3 linked regions of the Drosophila melanogaster genome follow. The protein of the gene in region 1 interacts with the protein of each later gene in a pairwise test. Each region holds a gene or a part of one and is shown on either strand. Other genes may lie near its edges.

Region 1 (10,871 bases):
GTTGGTTGCTCCCACACACACACACTCGCCTTTGTGGAGCGACAAACAAACAAACAAGCCAAAAACAACAAACAAGTAGCGTGCAAAAAATGAAAAATGGCAACACTTTAACTTTTGAACGCCGTTTCACCCACAAAACTCCTGGCCACCTCTCCAGATTTCAGCTACCTGCCATCTTTTAAATGCGATTTTTTAGCCGAGATTATTTCTGCTTGCGTTGTACACTTGGCGAAAAAACGAGGCACAATACAATATTTACAAGTTATTTTTCTAGGAATATAAAAAGCATTTTCAATGAACATCGCGCATCCGCCGTGTTGCGCAGCAACAAAGTTTATGGTACGAAGTAATAAAATAATACTTGCACAGCACTTCTTGAACTGATTATGTTGAATTGAGCGACTTAAGTTGATAATGAAATAGTATTTTTACTCAGAATGTATATATAAATTTTCGTGGTAGAATGTTTGTGATTGGACACAGGCCACATTTTATTTAGGAAATAACTGCAGATAACTATTTGCTCTCTTTTCTGATTCTCCGAATAAAGATTTAATAAATAACTGGCTAACTGCCTAAGGCTTTAGTTTTCAACTTCTGGGACGAAAGTTCGCTTCAAGTCTTAAATGGTAGTCAATCCAAGGGAGCAGACCAGCTACATTCGTAAAGACGATGAATGTATTTTCGACAGGCTTTTGACTTAACCAGTTCACAATGCCCACCTGTGCGTACTTATATGGATATGTAAGTATCCGACAAACCAGAGGAGCCCCACCGTCTCCACTGCAATCTATGCCTTCCAGACCTTTCCCACAGATTTGCTGGATGGGCAGCTTTCGAGAGCTACACATACCCATGCTCAAAAGATCGACCTGGACCGTCTTGAGAACGGTGGGGTAGTCCGTCGAGTTCAAATATACTTTTCCCCAGCCGTTGAAGAAGCAGGATCCTTTTTGAATACCAGCTTCTTGTAGGTACAATGGGATTAAATTAATGTTGGCTGTCATCTCAAATGCGGATACCAGAATGAGTAACGCCATGTTGTTTTCGGCATTGAATCTGTTGAACTGTTCATGGGAGACTATATTCAGCACCTCGAGATCCACGTGCTGCTGGTCAGCCGTAGTCGAGGTATCCCATTCGCCAGCTCGCACCACCAGATCATACTTGGTTGTTCCATTCAGAATATGAGCGGCAGTAAGGACCACATTTGGATTAATCAGAGATCCCACTCCTATATAGCGAAACAGCCAATCCCTCTGGTCGAGCACAGAAACCACCCAGGGAAATGTCGCTCTGGGATTACTGCCATATGTTTCACGTCGTATCTGCATGCGTATTTCCATTTCAGTATTTTTTATATCTATGTACAAGTATTATATAAACTAACCTGATTGTAGTTAAAGTATTGACTATTCACAAGGCTGATTATCAGTGTCGTGAGAAACGCAAAGTATAGCGACATTCCGCAACGAGTGTTCGAATCAAAATGAAATCGAGTACTTAGAACTTACCCTGCGAACTCAGCACTCTGCTTATCAGTAAAATGCGTCGTTTTAAGAATTCCACAAAGTATTTTGAGATAAATCACTTGTATTATAAAAAATATTCGCAGCATTCGTTATATTATTTCACAACGATCCAAGCAAATGCAGTCTAATTTCTCTCAGCGAACTTTTCTTTCGCCTAAGTGTAACTTTTTCATAATACTCGCAGCTGAATACAAAAAATGAAAAGAAAACATAACAAAAACTAGTTGAATAGCGCATACATATGTGCGAGGAGTCAACAAGCGCACGGTTGGCAGAATGAGGCAGCAGATTCCAATTAAGTTTTAAATTTTTAGCAGACAAGCTTATGAATGATGGCGTTCACTTCGATGGCAGCCCACTTGGCAGATGTCCAAAAGGTTTGCTCTCACTTTCCTCCTGCCAAATGTGCTAATCATTTTCATTTGCTACGAAATAGCCGAACAAATGGTGAGCTCACGAAACAAGCGGCGCCTTGGTCCTTTGCAATGTTACCCCCCCCCTTTACCCTCCTTTCAAGGACTTTTCCGCATGCATTCCCAAGTAGTTGAACATGGGAGTGCCATTATGGGAAGTAATAAACAAGAAATGGAATAACTGAATTGTTCGGATAGAATTGCAGATGCCCTTTGTCCTGTGATTAGCATTTGTTGCACAAGTCGAGTGAGGCACAGCAGAGCACATATATTCAGTGCGCTTTCTAAATAGATCAATTCTGTGACAACATTTTTGAAAACGCTTGTTTTAGAATATCAGTACGTAAATCTTAAAGCTCAAGATACGAATGTACCCAAAGAGATATATAAAACACAAAATATCTGTAAGATACAAAAGCATCAGATTTTAAAAGTATCTCTTAGATACAAAAGTATCCATAAGATTGGTAAAGTTTGAATTCCTAGCAAGTTGGCATCTCCAATATCCAGCCCGCCACGATTCTCCGCACTCAACAGATGGTTAAAAGCTTCAATTTGACAGCCGTCGGTTCAAAAAGCTCAAACCCGATTCATGGGGGCGCCACCCGTTCTATTCCAAAGCATACAAATGCCTCAAGATGAAACAAAAACAGAAAATAAACAACAAATACGCATGTATGACCTTCGCACAAGGTGACTGGGGCAAAAAGAGAGCGCCAGTGAGAGAGAGGCAGTGAGCGAGCGAGAGCACAGGGAGCAGTGCAGGAATACAGCATAGCTAAAGTGCGAGAGAGACAGCAAAATGCACCGGCGAGATAAGAACCGCTGCATCAGCAACGCACAGTGGGCGATATGGTCAAAATATACTGATAAAAGTTATTATCTGTTATTGAAATATACAAAATTTTCATTCTTAAATGATTAATATAAAAATCGAAAATTTAATATTTAGTTGTATAGTTAAAAAACAACCTATATTGTTGTATTATATCCCCTAGATGATAATTCGTAGCAGTTGATACCCAGCGCACCCACTGTGCGCTGGGAGTTGTTTACAAGGGGAGCAGCACGCTGAGAGAAAAGCTCTGGCGCAAAAGCTATCTCCGAAAGTATGCCGAAAGTATAAAGTGAGAATCGCTCCGGATTTTGCTGCGAACGGTCGTCTGTTCAGGTTCAGGTCTGGGTTGTGTCTATAGTCTCCGTCTCCTCTTCGCTGTCGCACACGCAAACGGGTCTACGCCACACACACACGCGCACCCACGCAACGGAATCAGAGAACTATATAGAGCCGCCACAGAGAAGGGACATACATAACTAGGACACCATGTCGAAGCCCCAATCCGACGCCGATCGGCGCAAACAGATCTCGGTGCGCGGGATCGCCGAGGTGGGCAATGTCACCGAAGTGAAGAAGAACTTCAATCGCCACCTGCACTACACCCTGGTCAAGGATCGCAATGTGTCCACCCTGAGGGACTACTACTTCGCCCTGGCCAACACCGTCAAGGACAACATGGTGGGCCGCTGGATTCGCACGCAGCAGCACTACTACGAGAAGGATCCCAAGGTGAGTTCCGCGCCCATCCAGGCCACCCACTTATTGATTTAGTCCGTGGAATTTTCCAAAAAGAAGTGGTCGGACCACCTAACCTAACTTTATCCGGGCTCTGGAGTTCTTAGGCCTGATTATCCCTTCCTGCGGCAACCAAAACTTTTGAAATAATTTCCTTTGAAATATTTTTTCCTAAATTTCTTTGGCTATTACGACATTTTTTTCGGCCTGCTCCATTCTCTTTTATTCGCTGCTGATTTATTCCCCGATGCGCTTTGGCCAACGAATTTACAGTGAACACTCAGCCAAAAAAAAAACTAAAAATTAAATGGGAAACGATAAACGTATTCATAAATAACTGAAGCAGTTTTGCTTTTATCCCAAGTATTTCCACTATGTCTTTTATTATTATAAATGAATATTCCATGCAACATTTCATAATCCTATTTTAATCCTTATTTTCTAAAATTCTAAAAATTTCCGAATGCTCACTGTTTATTTGAAATTTCGGCTTTTACTGCATTTCCCACGCTTTCGTTGTTTTGCTACTACATAATTGTTTCGTTTCATTTAATTATTCGCGAAATTGCCAAAAAGCAAAGACTGCAATGGGATCAATGCCAAAGAAGTAGCGCCAAAAAAAGGTGTGACACTTTCACTGCAACAAATTGCAGAGGTGCTGCAAAAAGCCGGCGAATTTATCAGCCACCCCCTTTTTACGCGCCCACTTGACAATTTTCCCCGCCAGCTGACGAAGCAACAAAAGCTTAAAAATAGCTCTGCATTTAGCAGCTGTCGCCGAGCTACTATAGAAGTAGCTCTATCCAAACATATTGATGAGTTTTTAGTAATAAGTTTTCCTGGGGCCATGGCGATGCAGTTTAAGTAGGGCAAGGGTGCATAATAAGTGCCCCCTTTTAGCCACATCCATCAGATACACAATATATGTATATACATACATATGTACATGTATCCAAACACGTGCCCAAAGCGTGAGCTTTCCATTTGCAAATTTGTCAGCATCGGCTGCTAAACATTTTTGTCCTTGCTGAATGTCAGCTTAAATCACTTTCAATTTCAAGCCCACCAAAATGTATCTATTAATTTTCCATTGACTCGAGCAATTTTGGCGACTAGAAGTTCGAGCTATATACACTTTTGGGTGATAAATATTTTCAATTCAACTAAATTGTGGATACCGTCACGGCGTCGGCACACATTTTTTCAAGGTCAATCAAAGGTTATTAACAACAACCAACTGACAAAAATATCAAGGAAAATTTCCCCCATTTTTCCTCTCTCATTTTTATTTTGGCTACCATTTCGGTTTTTGTTCGTTCTCAAATATATATATATGTACGTATGTATATATAAGTTCTTTCAGGTTGTGGAACTTTTATAGGCCCGATTTTGTTTAGTTGTCCCCCCACATGCAATTAGCTCACGCAACCATCTAAATAGAAATATATGAACTGACGACGATTGTATCTTATGGATACTTAAACAGCTGTTGTTGTGCGTGGATTGGTACTTAGAGTTAATTGAAGACAACTTGGCGTCCATCGGTCTCTAAACCAATTTATGCAAATTGAAGAAAGTTCAGCGGGGTGAATAGTCACACAAAAGAGTTTATTTCCCTGTAGTTTTCCACAAGCAGTTCGAAAATACTGTTCCACTTATCACCAAATTAAAAGCGTTTAGCTATCACCGATCATGTAAAAATTCAATGCCAGGGCGCCACTACCTATTGCATTTCCAACTTCCTATGCACATCTGTCATTTATTTATTGCATATAGGGAAAAAAAACCAATAAACAAAGGCAAACAAACACTGGTCGTTTGTTGGTGAGGCGCTCTTTATCAAAACCGCAAAAAACATATGTCTGGCATCTAATTCGTCTGTAGAACTGGCCAGAACGAATATCAAAGACCCTACACAACAAACTGCTGTGGAAAACATTAGCGCCGGCAGTTGAATGACTCCAAAAGCTTTTTATGGATCTGGAAGATTACTCACGTTTTGTTGTGAAGCTCTTATCTTCGATTAGATAAGCTAAATAGGTTATTAGCTTCTTTTTTTTTCTGCAGCAAAGAAGATCATGCTTAGAATTGGTTTTAATATTTGGATTTTTTCCAACTCAGTATTTACTGAGTGCACCTCATATTTCATAACTAAGAAAATACCTACTTTTATAGTTCATATTTTGGTATACCTATATAGATATAAACAATAATGTGTTTTATCACAGCATTTCCATTGCCCAGCACATATTGCCCGAATCAGTTCATACTCCATGTTCACCTAATTCTGTATATCTTATCTGCTAAATGGACTGCAAAATATTCCTAATCGAAAGTCCCCGATTCTATATAGGCGCCTTAACCCCTTTCACCTACAAATATGCACACAAAAACAAGCTCTCCAAACATTCCGAACTAATTAGCTATAGTTTTTTTCCCGGATCGCATAGCATCAGACATCTGAAAGCATCATGTGCGATAGGTATGCGTTTTAGGGCATAGATTACATAGGTAGGTTGACTGATAAGGGATAGGATTAGCATACCCTGGGAGCCATTAGCTACTGACTGGCGACACTGTGGGCGATGTTGTCGTCAATGCTGATTGGTGATTGCTGATCCGTGATCGATCCATGATTAGCCCAGCATTGGCTGGTGATAATAATCGCCATTCCAAGCTGTATAGATTCATGCTTAGCCATGATGTTTGCCCAGCATGCAAAGTGCAGCCTGCAATCGCTTGATAGCGTTGCTATAAACCCAATTAATGCCCTCGTAACATCGATCGATAGATTCGCACTGAATCGAACCGGTGATAGTGAATGCCTTCCTCTATTTATAGTTTCCAGTTGGGTTGCCCTGAAATTACCGTGCGATTTTTCGCTGATAAGCGAGTATTCCGTTGGGAACCGTAAAAGTTGGAAACTGGTTGACCTTCTGGCCAAACATAACTAGGTCTTTCAGCCGCAGTCGGCGCCCCTCTTATCAGGCTTTCGTTGTATTATAGTTATTGTATGCACTGTACAGCTGAACCTGGTGTGAGTGACCCATGCACTGCGGAAATGCACGAAATCTGAATCCAACTCATGAAATAATCTTATGACATTTCGATCTTCCAATATAGTTGCTAATTAATCATGGATACAATAGATCTAATAACGACCCCTGTATTTTTTTAGCGCGTCTACTATCTGTCGCTGGAGTACTACATGGGTCGCTCACTGACCAACACCATGATCAACCTGGGAATCCAGAGCGAGTGCGAGGAGGCCATGTACCAGTTGGGTCTGGATATCGAGAACCTGGAGGAGATGGAGGAGGACGCCGGTCTGGGCAATGGTGGTCTGGGTCGTTTGGCCGCCTGTTTCCTCGACTCGATGGCCACTCTGGGTCTGGCCGCCTATGGCTATGGCATCCGTTATGAGTACGGTATCTTCGCCCAGAAGATCAAGAACGGCGAGCAGGTGGAGGAGCCCGATGATTGGCTGCGTTATGGCAATCCCTGGGAGAAGGCTCGTCCGGAGTTCATGCTGCCGGTCAACTTCTACGGCCGTGTGATCGACACGCCCGAGGGCAAGAAGTGGGTGGACACCCAAAGGGTGTTTGCCATGCCCTACGACAACCCCATTCCCGGATACAACAACAACCACGTAAACACGCTGCGTCTGTGGTCCGCCAAGTCGCCCATCGACTTCAACCTCAAGTTCTGTAAGTATCTATAAGGAGAGGTCCCCTTGATAAGGCAAGAACTAACCTATGGCTATCTTCACCTATCCAGTCAACGATGGTGACTACATCCAGGCCGTGCTGGACCGCAATCTGGCTGAGAACATCTCACGTGTCCTGTACCCCAACGACAACTTCTTCGAGGGCAAGGAGCTGCGTCTGAAGCAGGAATACTTCATGTGCGCCGCCACGCTGCAGGATATCATCCGCCGCTACAAGGCCTCGAAGTTCGGATCCCGGGAGGCGGTCCGCAACACCTTCGATCACTTCCCCGACAAGGTGGCCATTCAGCTGAACGATACCCATCCATCGCTGGCCATCCCTGAGCTGATGCGCATCCTGGTCGATGAGGAGCATCTGACCTGGGAGAAGGCATGGGACATCACCGTCAGGAGTTGCGCGTACACCAACCACACCGTGCTCCCAGAGGCCCTGGAGCGCTGGCCCGTCTCCCTGCTGGAGTCGATCCTGCCCCGCCATCTGCAAATCATCTATCACATCAACTTCCTGCACATGGAGAATGTGAAGAAGAAGTTCCCCGACGATTTGGACCGCATGCGCCGCATGTCGATGGTGGAGGAGGATGGCGAGAAGCGCATCAACATGGCTCATCTGTCCATCGTCGGCTCCCACGCCGTCAACGGTGTGGCCGCCATCCACTCGCAGATCCTAAAGGACTCGCTGTTCCATGACTTCTACGAAATGGAGCCCCAGAAGTTCCAGAACAAGACGAACGGTATTACCCCGCGTCGTTGGTTGCTGCTCTGCAATCCCGGACTCTCCGACCTGATCGCCGAGAAGATCGGCGACGAGTGGCCAGTGCATCTGGACCAACTGGTTGCTCTGAAGAAGTGGGCAAAGGACCCCAACTTCCAGCGCAATGTAGCCCGCGTCAAGCAGGAGAACAAGCTGAAGCTGGCCGCCATTCTGGAGAAGGACTACGGCGTTAAGATCAACCCCTCTTCCATGTTCGACATTCAGGTGAAACGTATTCACGAGTACAAGCGCCAGCTGCTGAACTGCCTGCACATCATCACCCTGTACAACAGGATCAAGAAGGATCCCACAGCCAACTTCACCCCGAGGACAATCATGATCGGAGGCAAGGCTGCTCCGGGCTACTATGTGGCCAAGCAGATCATCAAGCTCATCTGCGCCGTGGGCAACGTTGTGAACAACGATCCCATTGTGGGCGATAAGCTCAAGGTTATCTTCCTGGAGAACTACCGTGTCACCCTGGCCGAGAAGATTATGCCCGCCGCCGATCTGTCCGAGCAGATCTCGACCGCCGGCACAGAGGCCTCTGGTACCGGCAACATGAAGTTCCAGCTTAACGGCGCCCTCACCATCGGCACCCTGGACGGTGCCAACGTTGAGATGGCCGAGGAGATGGGTCTGGACAACATCTTTATCTTCGGCATGACCGTCGACGAGGTGGAGGCGCTCAAGAAGAAGGGCTACAATGCCTACGACTACTACAACGCCAACCCCGAGGTCAAGCAGGTGATTGACCAAATCCAGGGCGGATTCTTCAGCCCCGGCAATCCCAACGAGTTCAAGAACATTGCCGACATTCTGCTTAAGTACGACCACTACTACTTGCTGGCCGACTACGATGCGTACATCAAGGCCCAGGATCTGGTCTCCAAGACCTACCAGGTGAGATTCGATAGCTTAACTATGTATTAGAAAAATAAGTAGCAAAGATCATTATTTAAACCACGATACTTTTGCCTAATTTGCAGAACCAAGCCAAGTGGCTGGAGATGTCCATCAACAACATTGCGTCCAGCGGCAAATTCTCGTCGGATCGCACCATCGCCGAGTACGCCCGCGAGATTTGGGGAGTGGAGCCCACCTGGGAGAAGCTGCCAGCGCCGGAGGATCAGCCACAGAACTAAATCAATTTTTGATATTATTTTATTATTTATGTGCTTTACTTTTGCTAAAGTCAAAGTTCAAGTTTAGGCGCCAAAAGCAACAACTAAAACAAATGAAGTGAACACGGGCCACAGCACCGAATTGTTAATATTTTATTTAATAAAAATCAAGATAAACAATTCGCCTAGTTCTCTCATCACTGTGGAATCGAATCGAATCGAATCAACAACGGTACCTACCTAAAAAGACCTCAGGAACACTTTCAAAGTAAAAGAAAAGTCTATTTAAAATAATGGAAAGAGTTGTAAAAAACGTTAGTGGCAAGCTTGTTTAGATATCTGATATGCGTGTTTTAAATCGAGATTAAACCTCAAGTTCAACTGTTAAATGTAAAAATAATTTAAATTGAATAAAATTTGATTCGAAATAGAAAGCTGGTGTTTCACTGTCGCTTGGGTGATAAATAAATAACACGAAGGGTTTACATCTTAATCTCATTGCAAATGAACAATTTATTATTTGTTTTAAAGACAATCTGAACATCTATTTGGGGAATGAACTTTTTATACAAATATTATGGCTATTACAGTTCCCGTTTAGTAAACAACACAAAAATGTAGTCATTTTTACAATGTAATTGTTTGGATCTCTGTTTTAAAATAGTCACTAAAACTTGTAAACATTTCAAAAGTAGTTTCGTTCTTTGCTACAATGGATGGAAAGGCCATTCCAAATTCTTTAAAAGTTAAACAAAATGCGCTTCACAATGCACGGAACGGGCAAGCAAAAGCCCGGAGTGCAATCAATAGTTGACTCTGGAGGACCGAGCGGACTTGCTGATGTACTGCCGCTCCTCGGCCCGCGAACCGCTGGCTCCTCCTCTTTCTCTATCGAACTTTTCATGTGATCGCTCCCGCGGTGACTTCTCCTATGGATTGGCAACCACATTAGTTGTAATTCCAGTACGCAATTCCAGAACTTGGGAATGTTGTCGACTATTGGGATATATCACTCACCCTATGCCGCTCTCTATCCCGCAGCTCTTCTTCACCGTTTTGTCCTGTAAATCGTTGGCTTTTGAATGTCTTGACTATCCGATAAATGACTATTCTCTCACCTTCGCGCCGGCGTTTATGTTCGTTGCTGTTGGACTCGTCGACGCGATCCCGCTTGCGTCCCAGCTTGCGATCCTTGCGAGCGTCTCGCTCCTCATCCGACAGTTTGTCCTTGTTGCGCTCTTTGGTCTTAAGGGCGCGCGCCTTCTTTACGCTGTCCACCAGTTCTTCCACCTTCTGGAACGGCATGGGATTAATGGTTGTAAAAACATGTCAAGACTGTTGCTTAATCTAAGCGTTTAAGGGTATGCGTCTAACTACTTAAAACGAACAAAAAGCCAAATGTTACTACTGTGTCTGTTACGTGTCCTCTGTCCTATATGGTTTATATGTCCGCCGACCCCACCACGCGCCCATTACTTACCCATGCACAGTCTCAATATCAACGAATTAACAACTAAACTGGGCTGCACAGGTAACTGAAGGTTGGAAGTCAGAGAAGCGGCTGAGTCGGGTATCCACTACGAATCCTCGGGAGCATTGGGGTTTTCACAGGACCGATGTTGAAGAATTATTCAGAAGCTAATATTCCACAGAGTAATTGAATTGCTTTTGTCCTCGTTTGCACAGTAAGTTGAAATCCGGTTTTATAACGCTTGTTCCATGTAGAAATTGAAATGGCTTTGTCCACG
Region 2 (6,619 bases), on another chromosome or scaffold:
TGATCATCATAGATTAAATATAGCAACAAGTTATTAGTAATTGCTCATTGAAGATAACTTATAAAACTAATGATTTGAATATATGCCTGAAATACACTATTTTTAAAGCTTATGTATTTGAGTCTCGAAAAACGATTGCCTTGAATTATATTTGTTCATTTCGCCAAACTATTACTACATCACATTGTTAACCAATAACCAATTTTTCGCTTTATTCAGACCCAATGTGTGCACCGAAAAGGAGGAAGACGAGACTGTGGCCAGTGAAACGGAGGCAGAAGAAACCGTGGACACCTTTGGCCAGGAACGTGATGGCGTTACCAACGTGGTGCGATCCCCACTCTTTGGCCAGTTCCAGTTCAGCGTTAACTCCTGCGCCGAGAAGCCCAACAAGCACGTCTGCACCAAGATGTAAGCAGATTACAGTAGGATTACCTAATCTCATCCAATTGATTGAACACTTTATCCCCTGCAGCGTGAATCAAAATGGCAAGAAGAAAACGCTGACGCTGACCCGCCAGTGCTGCTATGGATATGGACGCCCCAGAAACGCTGACTTCACAACGCCCTGCGAGAAGATCGACATCAAGGACGTGGAGGCCACGGCCAGTGACATGGGTGCCAAGCAGTTCCTGGAGAGTGCACGCACCGCCGGTGAGCTGGCCGATATGCTCGGAGCAGGCAGTGGCAAGAAGGTGACCCTCTTCGTGCCCAACGACGCCGCCTTCATGGAGTACCGTGGTCATCATCAGCAGGAGAATGTGAGCATGCCTTTGGTTACTAAAATTCATGTAAATAAATGAGAATTCTTTGCGTACAACAGAATGTGGAAGATGCCAAGGCCGAGGCTTCCAAGCCATCCATCTACAAACTGCACGCTGTTCTCGGCGAAGTTCAGCTGGAGGATGTGCCCAATGAGAAGCTTCTGCAGACGGAGCTGCCTGACCAGAAGATCCGCATCAACAGCTACCAGCTGCCTGCGGCTTTGGGCCTGGAACCCTACCGCTTTGCCGCCAACTGTGTGCCCATCGAGAAGCACGACAAGCTCTCGGAGCAGGCCCTTGTCCACACTCTGGGCGGAGTCCTGAAGCCGCTGACCAAGAACCTTATGGATATCATCAGGGAGCGTGCGGATATGTCCATTATGCGCACCGTTCTGGAGAAGACCAACCTGAGCGCCATGCTAGAGGATGACAAGCCAGTGACCATCTTTGTGCCCACCGATGCCGCCTTCGACAAGTTGGAACCTCATCTGCGTCGAGCCCTCAAGGAAGGTCGCGGTTGTGCCTCCAGTGAGTTGGTCTGGAAACTTATCCACAAGCAGCTAACTAACTAATATAATATGATTCCCATTTATCCGGTAGACATCCTGAAGAACCATTTGCTGGACCTCACCTTCTGCTCGCTGGCCACTGTTCCGGGTGCCAAGACGACGGCCTACAATCTACTGGGAGAACCCCTGCTCCTCAACCGAACCCACCGCGCTGCGAATCAGACTGGACCGACTCCCATCTACATCAATAACTTGGCCAAAATCATTGATGCCGATATCATGGGCACCAATGGTGTGCTGCACGTAATCGACACCATCCTGCCCACCGAATCGGCTCTGCCCATGACCTCGCTGATGTCGCAAAAGAACCTGACCATCTTCCAGCGATTGCTGGAGGCCTCCGGCTACGATGATCAGTTCGACGATCTGGACAACGTGACCATCTTTGCACCAACTGACAAGGCTCTGCAGAATACGGAATGGGCTCGCATGCTCAAGGAACAGCCGGAGCTGCTGAATCATAACTTGGATCTGCTGGAGTTCCTTAACTACCATGTGGTCAAGCCCATGATCAAGACCTGTGACCTGTCGGAGAAGTCCCTGCCCACGGTTGCTGGATCTAGTGTGCGTCTGAACCTGTACTCCACCCATGCTCTCTTCTCGGACGTGATGAACCGGGCAACGGTAAACTGTGCCCGTTTGGTGCACTTCGATGACGAGAGCTGCGGATCCGTTCTCCACCAGGTGGATCGTGCCTTGGCGCCTCCCAAGAATGTGAGTTCTACGAGGTTATCACGGAATTTAAAGCTTATGCTTATTTGTAAATATTCCACAGAACATGCTTAAGCTGCTGGAGGCTAATCCCAACTACAGCAAGTTCCTGGAGCTGGTTCGTAAGGCTAATCTTACACAGCTGCTGTCCAACGATTCGAGGAGTCTCACCCTGCTGGTGCCAAAGAACGATATCTTCGAGGAGCTGAACGAGTCCGGTGAGGGTTCAAAGCCCGCCGATCCCATGGCCTTGGTCAAAACCCATATCGTTGAGGATGTTGTCTGCTGTGCCGGCATTATCCCAACCAACTGGCCATTTGTCCGCTCCATCGAGTCCATCTCTGGCCAGCATCTGCGTATCACCCGCGATCGTCGTCCCAAGATCGAGAACGCCGGCGTCACCAAGTGCGATGTGGTGGCCACCAATGGAATTCTCCATGAGATCAACGACATCATCGTGCCACGCCCACAGCGCCAGCAACAGCAGCGACCCCAGCTGATCCCGCCCGGAGCTGGCTATCAGCCACAGGGCGATTTCGATGTCTTCTTCTGAGCGGTGCTCGTCCCCATCTCATGCATATTGATATATAAAGCAGATATTTATATTTACTCTTAACGATTTGTCAACTGATTGGAAGCCGCAAAAAGCTCAGAATCTCCTCTGATAAATAAAATAAATAGTATTAAAACAAACATGATCGGAGTTATGCTTATTGTTCACATGCAAGGTATTAAAAGGAATTACCTTAATTGGGAATTGGTTTTCTCTTTAAAAAATGTGGTTGGTATATGATATCACAATTTTTAGAATCATTCTTACAGAGAGCTACATTAATAATGCGAAATTACATAGTAATATATATAAAGAACTAAGAGCGAACCTTCTCTTCCACAGCTTATCACGAAGAGAAGCTTGCTAAGGGAGGCAAATCTATTTTGGAACTCACTCATACCTACATATGTTAAAATCACTTTATGCACTTATAAAGTGCCATTTTTCTAGGAGTTCTATTCATTCAAGCTTGTTAATTGAAGCGAAAAGGATGTCGGGATCACTGCCAGCTACTTTCGTCAAGGGTTTCCACGATGAGGAGAAGGTGCGTCGTATGGAGTACCGCCAACTCGGATCCACGGGTCTGCGAGTATCCAAAATTGCTTTGGGTGGTGCCACTCTCTCCAAGCTCTTCTCCGATGACTTCGATCGCGAGGAGGGCATCCTCACGGTGCAGGAAGCCATTAGATCCGGTATCAACTACATAGACACGGCTCCCTTTTATGGCCAAGGCAAATCGGAAGAGCTGCTTGGCCAGGCGCTCAAGGATGTGCCCCGGGAGGCCTATTATATAGCAACTAAAGTTGCACGTTACGAGTTGGATCCAAACAATATGTTCGACTATACGGCTGCCAAGGCTCGGGAGAGTGTGAAGCGTAGTCTGGAGCTGCTCCAGTTGGACAGGGTGGACGTACTACAGGTGTGTTTGGTATACCAATATATAGATTTGTCTATAAACTAACACCTTGTGACAGGTTCATGACGTGGATGCGGCACCTAGTCTGGACATGGTGCTGAATGAGACCATACCCGTCCTCGAGGAGTACGTCCAGGCGGGAAAGGCTCGATTCATCGGAGTCACCGCCTACGATGTGGACGTGCTGAAGGAGTGTGCCGAGCGGGGCAAAGGTCGCATCCAGGTGGTGCTCAACTATGCCCGCTACACCCTGTTGGACAACACTTTGCTGCGCCACATGAAGGCCTTCCAGGAGATGGGCGTGGGCGTTGTCTGTGCGGCCGCGCACTCTCTGGGACTCCTAAGCAACGCTGGACCCCAGTCCTGGCATCCTGGTAGTCCGGAACTCCTAGCTGTGGGCAAACGGGGAGCCGAAATCTGTCAGAAGAGGAACGTTGAGCTTGGAAAGCTGGCCATGTACTATACAATGCAACTGGATGGGGCGGCCACCTTCCTCATCGGTATCCCCAACCGAAAGCTGCTGCGGATTAACTTGGACGCGATCTTCGACGGTCTCACTTCCCACGAACAGGAAGTGCTGCAGTATCTGCGCGAAAAGTAAGTTGGCCAACAACTGGTTACGCCGAACTGTGCAAGTCGGATTTGGTGTTACCAATCCTGCTATTGCATCACGGGCACGAACTTGGCCTCGGCCTGGCCAAACTGGTTAATGGTAGCTCGATCCAGAGCAGACTGCTAGCGTTAAATCTCCATTCCAATCGCTACAATACATTGGTTTCCTTTTCTGTCTTCGTTTCAGCGTTTTTACCAAGTCCTACAGTTGGGGCTCCACTTTATCCACGGTTAACATGTTCAAATGAGCGACCACTTGGACGGGCAATCGAACTTGAGCTCCAAGACCAAGAAATCTTTGGTAATGCAGGGAGAACGGATTTAAAATAAACTTTAGATTATAATATTCACTGAAATAAAATATTAAATGAATATTTTTGAACCTATTTATTTTTTATAACAGTCGGCCTAAAGCAAACTTTATGCAAATTTATGATTAAGTTATTCCCAGATAAGATCAAGTTCAGTTGGGCCAACAGTTCAGGTCATTTAAGATTACAGATAATAATCAAACACAGCTTTGATTCAGCTGATTAATATTTGTTTTCTTTGCCTCAAAAGATCCAATGAGAAAGGCAAGAGAAGAAAGCCTCTCAAAAGCGACTACCGTTTATTGCAAAACAGAATACTTCTGAAGAGGCTTTTCATTTAAGACTACTTTCCCTTAAAAAAATCCACTCCCTCTCTTAATTTTAATTCGAGAAGAGATAATAAAAGATTTGTTCAAACACGTTAAAACCGCTCCGATACAGAACTATTCTCTCTTTGATAAGAGGCAATCTGTGTTGTTCAGAATATAAGTTATATTTATAATATTAAGCAGGCAGTACTTCTCTGACTGCCGATCGAATTTCAACAGACCGCGCAATATATTCGAATGAAAACAAAAAAACAGAAAGTTCTAGAAATTTTGGATGAAGTTGCGATTATGTATTCAATAATATAGGGCAAGGCCAATTTATGTGAGCTGCCTTGACTTATATTTATAAAATATTATAAAAATGTTGTGCAATTTAGAAGTTAATATATTTTCTTTTTTAGCTTTGATTTCGAAACAAAAATCTGGCACTAACTCTGAAGAGCTCCTTAGACAGGCACTGAAAAAAAGCCGCAAAAATCCCATTGTATCGCTACAACTAGTTGTTGCAACTATGGCTCGCTTTTCTCTTAAAAAATGTGGCTGATATACAATAATATGATTTTCAGAATCGTACTGTTTGAGAGCTAAGTTGATAATGCGAACAAAGAGCCGGAATTCTCTTCCACACCTTATCAATAAGAAAATCTTGCTAATCGGGGCAATTATATTACGGAACTCACTCAAACAAAGTGAAAAATTACTTATTTACCCCCACAGTTCTTATCTGAAAACCTGGTCCCCAAATCATATAAAAGCCCGATTTTTTTAGTTGTTCCTTTCATTCAAACTTGTTAGTTGAACAGAAAAGGATGTCGGGATCACTGCCAGCTACTTTCGTCAAGGGTTTCCACGATGAGGAGAAGGTGCGTCGTATGGAGTACCGCCAACTCGGATCCACGGGTCTGCACGTGTCTAAATTAGCTATAGGTGGCTCCCCCCTTTGCAATCTCTTCTTTGATGACTATGATCGCGAGGAGGGCATCCTTATGGTGCAGGAGGCCATTAGATCTGGCATTAACTATATAGACACAGCTCCATTCTATCGGAGGTGCTGCTTGGCCAGGCCCTAAAGGATGTACCCCGGGAGGCCTATTATATTGCCACTAAAGTGGCGCGCTACGGGCTGGATCCGAAGAATATGTTTGACTATTCGGCTGACAAAGCTCGGGAGAGTGTGAAGCGGAGTCTGGAGCGGCTCCAGTTGGACAGGGTGGACATACTACAGGTGGGTTTGGTAGATTCGTCTATAAGCTGGTGAACTAATATGGCCCTTATGACAGGTTCATGACGTGGACGCGGCACCCAATCTAGACATAGTGCTGAATGAGACCATACCCGTCCTCGAGGAGTACGTCCAGGCGGGAAAGGCTCGATTCATCGGAGTCACCGCCTACGATGTGGACGTGCTGAAGGAGTGTGCCGAGCGGGGCAAGGGTCGCATTCAGGTGGTGCTCAACTATGCTCGTTACACCCTTTTAGACAACACCTTGCTGCGCTACATGAAGGACTTCCAGAAAATGGGAGTGGGCGTTGTCTGTGCGGCCGCTCACTCATTGGGACTCTTGAGAAACGCTGGACCACATGCATCGCATCCCGGTAGTCAGGAAATCCTGGCCGTGGCCAAACGGGGGGCCGAAATCTGCCAGCAGAGGAACGTGGAGCTGGGAAAGCTGGCCATGTACTATACGATGCAACTGGATGGGGCGGCCACCTTCCTCATCGGCATCCCCAACCGAAAGCTGCTGCGGATTAACCTGGACGCGATCTTCGACGGTCTCACTTCCCACGAACAGGAAGTGCTGCAGTATTTGCGCGAAAAGTAAGTTGGCCAACAACTGGTTAGTCGGATTTGGT
Region 3 (6,844 bases), on another chromosome or scaffold:
TGGTTTTTATGTGGTTACAGAGAGATAATTGTAAAAGTTTAATCATAAGGCAGATATTCCTTTTTCTTCAGTTTAGAACTAACCCAAAAAATCCAAATATTATGTAGTTCTGACTTACGTCTGGATCGAGCTGAGCTCTTGCCACTCCCAGCCACGGTTGCCTCCTCCTCGCCCTCCAACTCGCCTTCTACCTCGGCATCTGTGGTTTCACCACCAGTGTTGACCTCTTCGACGGCCTCTTGATCACCACCGGCTGGTGCCGCTGCATCCTGGCCAGCTTTCTTGCGTCCCTTTCCGGCTGCTCCTGCCGATGCACCTGCTTTGCCGGCGGACTTTCCGCCCGCCATCCGGGCATCGCCCTTCTTTTTGCCCTTGCCTTTTTTGTCGGGAACTGTGGGTGGTGGGCGCGGCACCTCCTCCAGCACGGTAATCTCCTCCTCGATGAGTTTGTCGTAGAAGGTGCGCCAGAAGAACAACACCACGAAATCCAAATCGTTTTGGGTCTCGTAACGTCGCTGGAAAAAATTCTCCACGGCAGGCATATTTTTGCTGATCGTTGCATTCACATACTTGGGTTCAAAAACTCCCAGCATATTGGACATAATCGTCTTCAGCCAGACGATACGGGGTTCAACGTTGTTAAGGGACTCTGCCGTGGCATCGGCACTGTCTGAGGTGGATTCAAATTGCGTTTGTGACATGGTGGTCGTCGCTTATTTGAATAGGTTCTTGAAGTTGGGCGGTGGAGTGGGTTTCCGATGTGAGTGGGTTTTGGGTCCCTTGCTTGCTCTCTTTTGGTTGTTTGGCTGCCACGTCGGCGTCTTCGCGCGGCTGAACATCAAACGTTTGCCTTGATTTCGCAGGATTTCTCGTTACAAACAGGATCTCTCGTCCTCCCACTTGGATGCCAACTTGGTGGATGCCCAACCACCTTTCCGTTTTTGTTGTTCTTTCAATCAATTTCAGCTGCCTCGCTGTGCAGTTTGGTTTCGCTTCCGCCACAGAGTGCTGGTGTATTTACTCCCGGGCGTCTGAAAATCCTTTTGTGTATCCCAGGACAACAGTTGCGGCTGCAGCTACGGCAATGGCCAATGCCAGCCGTCTAAAAACCAAATATGGAATGCCTTGAAATGTTGTCTTTGGGCCACACTGTTCAGATATACAGGTACACAATTTGTTAACGGCGTTTGATGAAAGTTATTTCCATTTCCCTGACGAAAATATAGCAGGGCTGCTTTGATTAAAGCTGTCGAATAATAATAACGACGTTGCTTAAATTGTTTATGCTGCTTGTTTTGATTCCATTTCCCGGCTATGTTGCTGGTTGCCTTGACTAGCTGTTGTTAGGGCAACCCAATCCTACCCAACTCAGCCCAGTCCAACTATCCCCAACCCATCCGATTTAATGTAATTTCTGGTACCCCCCTTCCGGTTACCTGTCAGCCGCACTTGCAACATGCAACAGTCGAATAGCAATGCCAGAGCATTGTGGGCCCTTTGAATGCACCAACGCAACACAACACATCCCAACCAATCCCCTGCCAAGTTATAGAGCTCACGCCGTTGCGTAAACAAAACACGCAGCCCTGACTTAATGGCTATGCACATTAGCAACGTGCCAGGGACTTTCCCAGTTGCCAGGTCTCCGGGTCCAGGTCAAGTAGCCCCGTAGCCCCCTTGGCTCCTGGGAAGCGGCGGACGTGGAACGATGGCCACGCTCAATAAGTGTATGGGACCATAAATGGAAATATTTACTCGGCACCGTCAACACGGCAAAGTGAGTTGAGTGAGGCTGTGGGTTAAGTAAGTGCAAGTGCAAAAGTCAACTTTGCCCGGATCTCAAATTGCCTAACAACCGACTGCCAGGCTCTTTGACGACTTCACTTAAAGTGCATGTGCCGTTGCTACCATAAAAGTTGCGCAATCAAACTTCGCAGCCACTTCAATGGGCTTGAGGAATCAGTTCCATGGGATGTCATCGATTTTTCATTAATACCTGGATTTTACCTAATTTCCGCAGGCCTTGAATTTTGATTATCTCGCTAATGTGATTTTTATTTTAGACTGTCTAAGGTACACCGCAAAAAATAAAATAAGATAAGGACATTCTTGTAGATGAGTGCAATCAGTTTACTAGTGTAAATTGTTGGCATACAAAGTGGCATACATATATCATGAAAATGTTCTACTTTCGTCCTGTGGGTGTCTTCCAGGAGAGGCGATTCCTGTGAATGGTCAACCTCGGCTTTTTAAACTGTGCGAGCCCACGGCGATCTTCAATTATCGATGAAGTAGTGTAGAACATGATGTGGTCAACCTTGTAGTACTTCGTCATCCCCATAAATTCTAAAGTGCTTATTATGTCCTCCTCGCGGAAGCCAGTCGCTTTGCTCAGCTCTTCGATGGTCACCAGGTCCGGTGATGAGTGGTGCCTCAGCAGATTGAGGAGGATGTGGCCCCAATAGCTGAGGTAACAAAGTCTGGCAACTTTCGACAGCGGCTTCTTGGGACCTCCGATGCATGCCTCCCTGCGAGAGATCTCGTAGCTCAGATCAATCAACAACTTTCCGTATCCCTTGCGCATATAGGGCGGTAAAACAAGGATGCAATTCAGGTTGATATTCAGCATAGTCTTCTCCCTGGCGAAGTAACCTGCAAAGTGCTCGCCATCCTTGTCCTTCAAACACAGGATATAAAACAAGAACGAACTCGAGCTGTAAAGAATTTTCTTGTTTTCCAGAAAGAGCTTTGACATTAGGCAGAGGCACTGGCAATACAGCTGCTCCTTATGGCCATCGACCTCGTAGATATAAATATTGTCTTTTCGGTATAACAAGCTGCCCGGCGGACACCTCTTCTTGCAATCGTATAGGTGGTAGGAGTAACTTTTCCGCAAGCACATGTATTTTAGGCAGAATTCACAAACGTAAATGGTGGTCGCCTTGTCGTTTATTACAGGATAGGGACTGGAAGACGTGGTCTCGATCTCGTAACGCCCAAATTGCACCTTTTCGATGTTTCTTATGACTTTCACTTTCGCGTCCTCTTTCTCTTTCTGGACATCACTTTTTTCATTATCTATTGTCTCCTGGCGCTGGCGATCATCCACATTGCTACTGGCATTAGTGTGTAATAAAGAAATCATATTAGGTTCCTTGACGCCTTCCAATTGCTTCTTCGGTGTAGCCCCTATTCTTTGAGCTTCGATGCACGATCCAGTAATGGTTTTAGTTTCCTGAATGTTTTTTTGAAGAGATGAATCGTTCTGAAGCTGGGATTTCCCCATTTCGGACTTAGAAGCACTTTGGCCTAAACCGCGAGTCGCGGAGGATTCCTTGGCATTAGTCTGAAGAGTGGCAAAAAAAAAATAAATTATCAGCAGTTTTTCATTCCTCATATGATATTCTTTGACCAGTATTGTTCTTACCAATTGCAGGGCTCTCGGAATGTCCGGCAATTTCGAACTTATCCCGTCCTGATCGCCCAACGGCTGATACTTTAAATGGTCACCTGATCTGTTTTCCTTGTCCATTTGTCAATTCCTATTGCGAATTTCACCCTTTTTAGAAAGCGTGGTTTTTCACTAGTGATGACACATTTAGCTTGATATCGATTAGTGATATCAATAATGAAACGATAAAGTTTGTTGTCAAAAAATCGAATCATCTAAGGAAGCACCAATATCAAAGCATTAAAGTTATTTTTAAATTTTAATTCCAATTTAACTTTCTGAACATATATTGAGCAAAAATATATATTATACAATAAGTTGTATACATTTTTTTCAGTGAGAAAACATTTCGGGATATAATCTCAGTCCTACGCCACACCCTGCTACCTTGATCTATCGAAGACGCCAGTGCAGGGACAACCCGGCTCAATACTAATTAAAATAAATGAACATTTACGTCGTCACAGCAGGTGGATGTGAGGGCGAGAGGCCAGGAGACCGGGCGAAAGATTAGGTGACGAGCCCGGGCCAACGGGAGACATCATTAAAATGCATGGTTCAAACGGTGCGTATACTTAATATAGATTGGATTGAGAGTGTGTGGATGGCGGGATGGGGGGGGGGGGGGGGTTCTAGCAGGATGGAAAGCTCCTGGATGAGTTGGCTCCTTTTGCTACAGCATTCGCTTGCGGTGGCTGTAATCTTTATGCGCCATGTTTTTATTTGTATTTATTATTGCGTTTGCGGAGAGCAGAGTAGCGAAGAGCACACTTTGTTTGCAGGTGAAATATTCCACGCATCCAGCGAAATGAGAATTTATTGACTTCACTCTGCATATGTGCGTGTGTCTGTGTGTGTGTGCCTTTTCTATAAGAGTCTCTGTTTGCGTACACGTAAAAATATTATAGCGATTTGATATATAGCTTTGTGCTGCAAAATATCTATGCGCTGCAGAAATATAAAAATGTCATGTCTCTACTAGAGAATATTACACAAAAATGATTAAAATTATATACATACTTCGAATCTCATTAAAATCAAACACTTTTTATTGCTGTGCTGCTTCGTTTCCGCTTGAAACGTGCCCCCACTGCATATTTATCTACGTCACACAAGTTTGATAAACACAACCATGGCTTCGAGACAACTCGAACGTCTGTTTGCATTTGTGCTTAATAACTTTTAAATGATGCGGGGAATGCCTTTGAAAACGAAGTCAACTGAAAGGAGGTTCCTGGGCCCCGGAGTCATACTCCCTAATTAGAGCCGTAGAGTCGTAGGTGTGTGCAGAACTATTCAAACAGGCCAAAGAAGTCGAGCTAACTTGAAGCTTAAATATTTTTAATAAAAATTCTTTTGTTATTTCGATATGTTTAAAGCACAGCACAGCTTCTTGTTAATGTATATATACATATACAATATTCTAATCCCAGCTTAATTTCACGCCTCCAAGCTTTTTGGTTCCTTGTTATTACTCGATACCATCAGTCTTATAAAAATATTAAGGCCAATGTTTGGGCTGGTAGCTCTGGATCGATACCTATTAGCCCTTGACCTGTACGGTGAAGATAAGCGCTGGGCTCCCAATGGGCTTTGCGAAACGGTTTCCATGGGGCCACGTAGTGTTGGGTGGGTTTGGACGGGCTTTTGTTTAGCCAGCTGAACATTTGGAAAATGGTTACAAACAGTTTTGAATGCCCATAATTGATGCAGGAGGAGCATGCCCAGAGCCCGGCAATCGCACTTCAATATGCATGCCAGTGTGCACTGAATACCCAGTTCCAAGTTACCATCCGGTTGGAATCAAACCAAGTGTGGTCAGGCGTCTCTGCTGGGCTGCCGGATGCAAAGCCGGAATAGTGGTCGGTCGGGTTGCGTTAATTAATAAACTGGGCCTACTTTAAGACGACGCCTGCGTTGGCCAATTGCCATGGCATCCATGCAGTCGGGCAACTAGGCAACTAGGCAGTCGAGCCGTAACCGCAACAACTTCAATGCAGTTTTGTCTGCCACAAAGCCGAATTTCAGTAACTGGCAGAGATTGCATCCTTTGCGGATACTTAACGAGTCGACGCCTGAGGAACGGTCCAATCCCAAACTGATGCCCTCAAAGCCGTATAATTGGCCAGCGATGCGCCATCATCGCCGGCATGGACTCGATCGATTCCTTTGAGCATTAGCCAAATGCCGCATTTTTGAAGTAATAAAGCACAGGTCAATCTCAGTTGTGGTTGCAGCCATATCAAATCGCACGAGTCCACAGGAATTTGGAAGCTATTTGTGCCACTAGCAGTATGTTAATATAACACACAAGTGATGCTCAAAACAGGCTCTTCGTTAGCCAATTCCAGCTGAGTTAATCAACTTTAACTGCACCTTCATATACTAGGGATGCCTTTAGTTGATAAAGGTTTGTTAATTAGATTTTGATTCGTTTGTTGCTTTTCTTTCCCGCGAATTCATTGAACCCAAGTTTTGCAACGACTTGTGTGACCATTTGGCTTGGTTACCCTCGTTCTGAATCATTTGGAATGCCCTTTAGTGCGCAGGCTAATTAACATAGTCTGATTGCTGAGTCAGTTCCATTTACGTCTGTTAAAATCCTTCTGAAAATGGAAAAGTTTTGAGAAAAAATGTAGCGTTGTCTTCAACAATATTATTCAACATTTTAGCCACCACCCAGCCACCTCATTCGCATAAGCAAAGTCAAGTTTTTGGCCAGAGTTGCAAAGTTTTTTGACTGGCTCAAGTTTTATCATATTTTTGCACAGGCAAATCTCAGCGAATAAGTCTCCGTTGCTCCGACTCTCGGTTCAATTTGCATACAGAGTTCGAGCATTATTTTTATTTACCTGATTCAGCGCTGATTTATGATTTTATCGTGAAAAATGCAGAGCTGCGGCGGACGAAGGACTACGAAGACGACAAGGACGTGGACGTGGATGTGGTGGAGAGCGAAGCTCACGGAAAGTCAATTGAAATGCAAACGTGGCCAGTGGTTGCCTTCCGGTGTCCGCGTTGCTGGGTGTCCGGGTGTTCGGAAGTGGATCCCAAGCTCCTCCTCCTGCCTCCATTGTTTGTGTGCACCATTGCGTTTGGCCATAACTCAAAGCTTGAGCTTTGTTGCCCACCAATTGCTCGGGCGTCACGTGTTTTCATTTGGCGCCTCTCGTTCTCGCAAGGACGCCTTGTGCCAAGTGCTCGGGGAAATTGTCACGTCACAGGAAGTTGCAGGCGACGTCATTGACTCATAAATAAAGTTAGAGCTACATGAAGAAGTACGCTGCTGCTGGTGAGGATTCGAGCAACCAATTGCTTTGATACAATTTCGAACGAGCATCGGACAACGGATGTGCCACGAATGCAATCCAAGGATCTCAGCTTTGTTCTCTG

The links. Proteins that work in one complex are often made in the same cells at the same time.
Region 2: the proteins of Glyp (region 1) and CG3397 interact in a two-hybrid assay, tested with the Drosophila melanogaster proteins (one large-scale study listed by BioGRID).
Region 3: the proteins of Glyp (region 1) and CG1894 interact in a two-hybrid assay, tested with the Drosophila melanogaster proteins (one large-scale study listed by BioGRID).

The regions. Positions count from the first base shown.
Region 1 is NT_033779.5:2,127,743-2,138,613, forward strand, and holds Glyp (glycogen phosphorylase), read left to right. Parts: upstream 1-3,070; 5' UTR 3,071-3,269; coding exon 3,270-3,512; intron 3,513-6,696; coding exon 6,697-7,225; intron 7,226-7,295; coding exon 7,296-8,902; intron 8,903-8,988; coding exon 8,989-9,144; 3' UTR 9,145-9,554; downstream 9,555-10,871. Other genes in the region: CG4259 (uncharacterized protein), read right to left, coding at 591-1,328, 1,391-1,465; tho2, read right to left, coding at 9,927-10,052, 10,141-10,184, 10,242-10,416.
Region 2 is NT_033777.3:11,980,977-11,987,595, reverse strand, and holds CG3397 (uncharacterized protein), read left to right. Parts: upstream 1-3,054; 5' UTR 3,055-3,087; coding exon 3,088-3,516; intron 3,517-3,571; coding exon 3,572-4,110; intron 4,111-4,312; coding exon 4,313-4,373; 3' UTR 4,374-4,498; downstream 4,499-6,619. Other genes in the region: mfas (midline fasciclin), read left to right, coding at 220-411, 476-761, 824-1,292, 1,365-2,047, 2,109-2,597.
Region 3 is NT_033777.3:28,481,340-28,488,183, reverse strand, and holds CG1894 (uncharacterized protein), read right to left. Parts: upstream 3,628-6,844; 5' UTR 3,533-3,627; coding exon 3,428-3,532; intron 3,347-3,427; coding exon 2,186-3,346; 3' UTR 2,122-2,185; downstream 1-2,121. Other genes in the region: Dhc98D (dynein heavy chain at 89D), read right to left, coding at 119-701.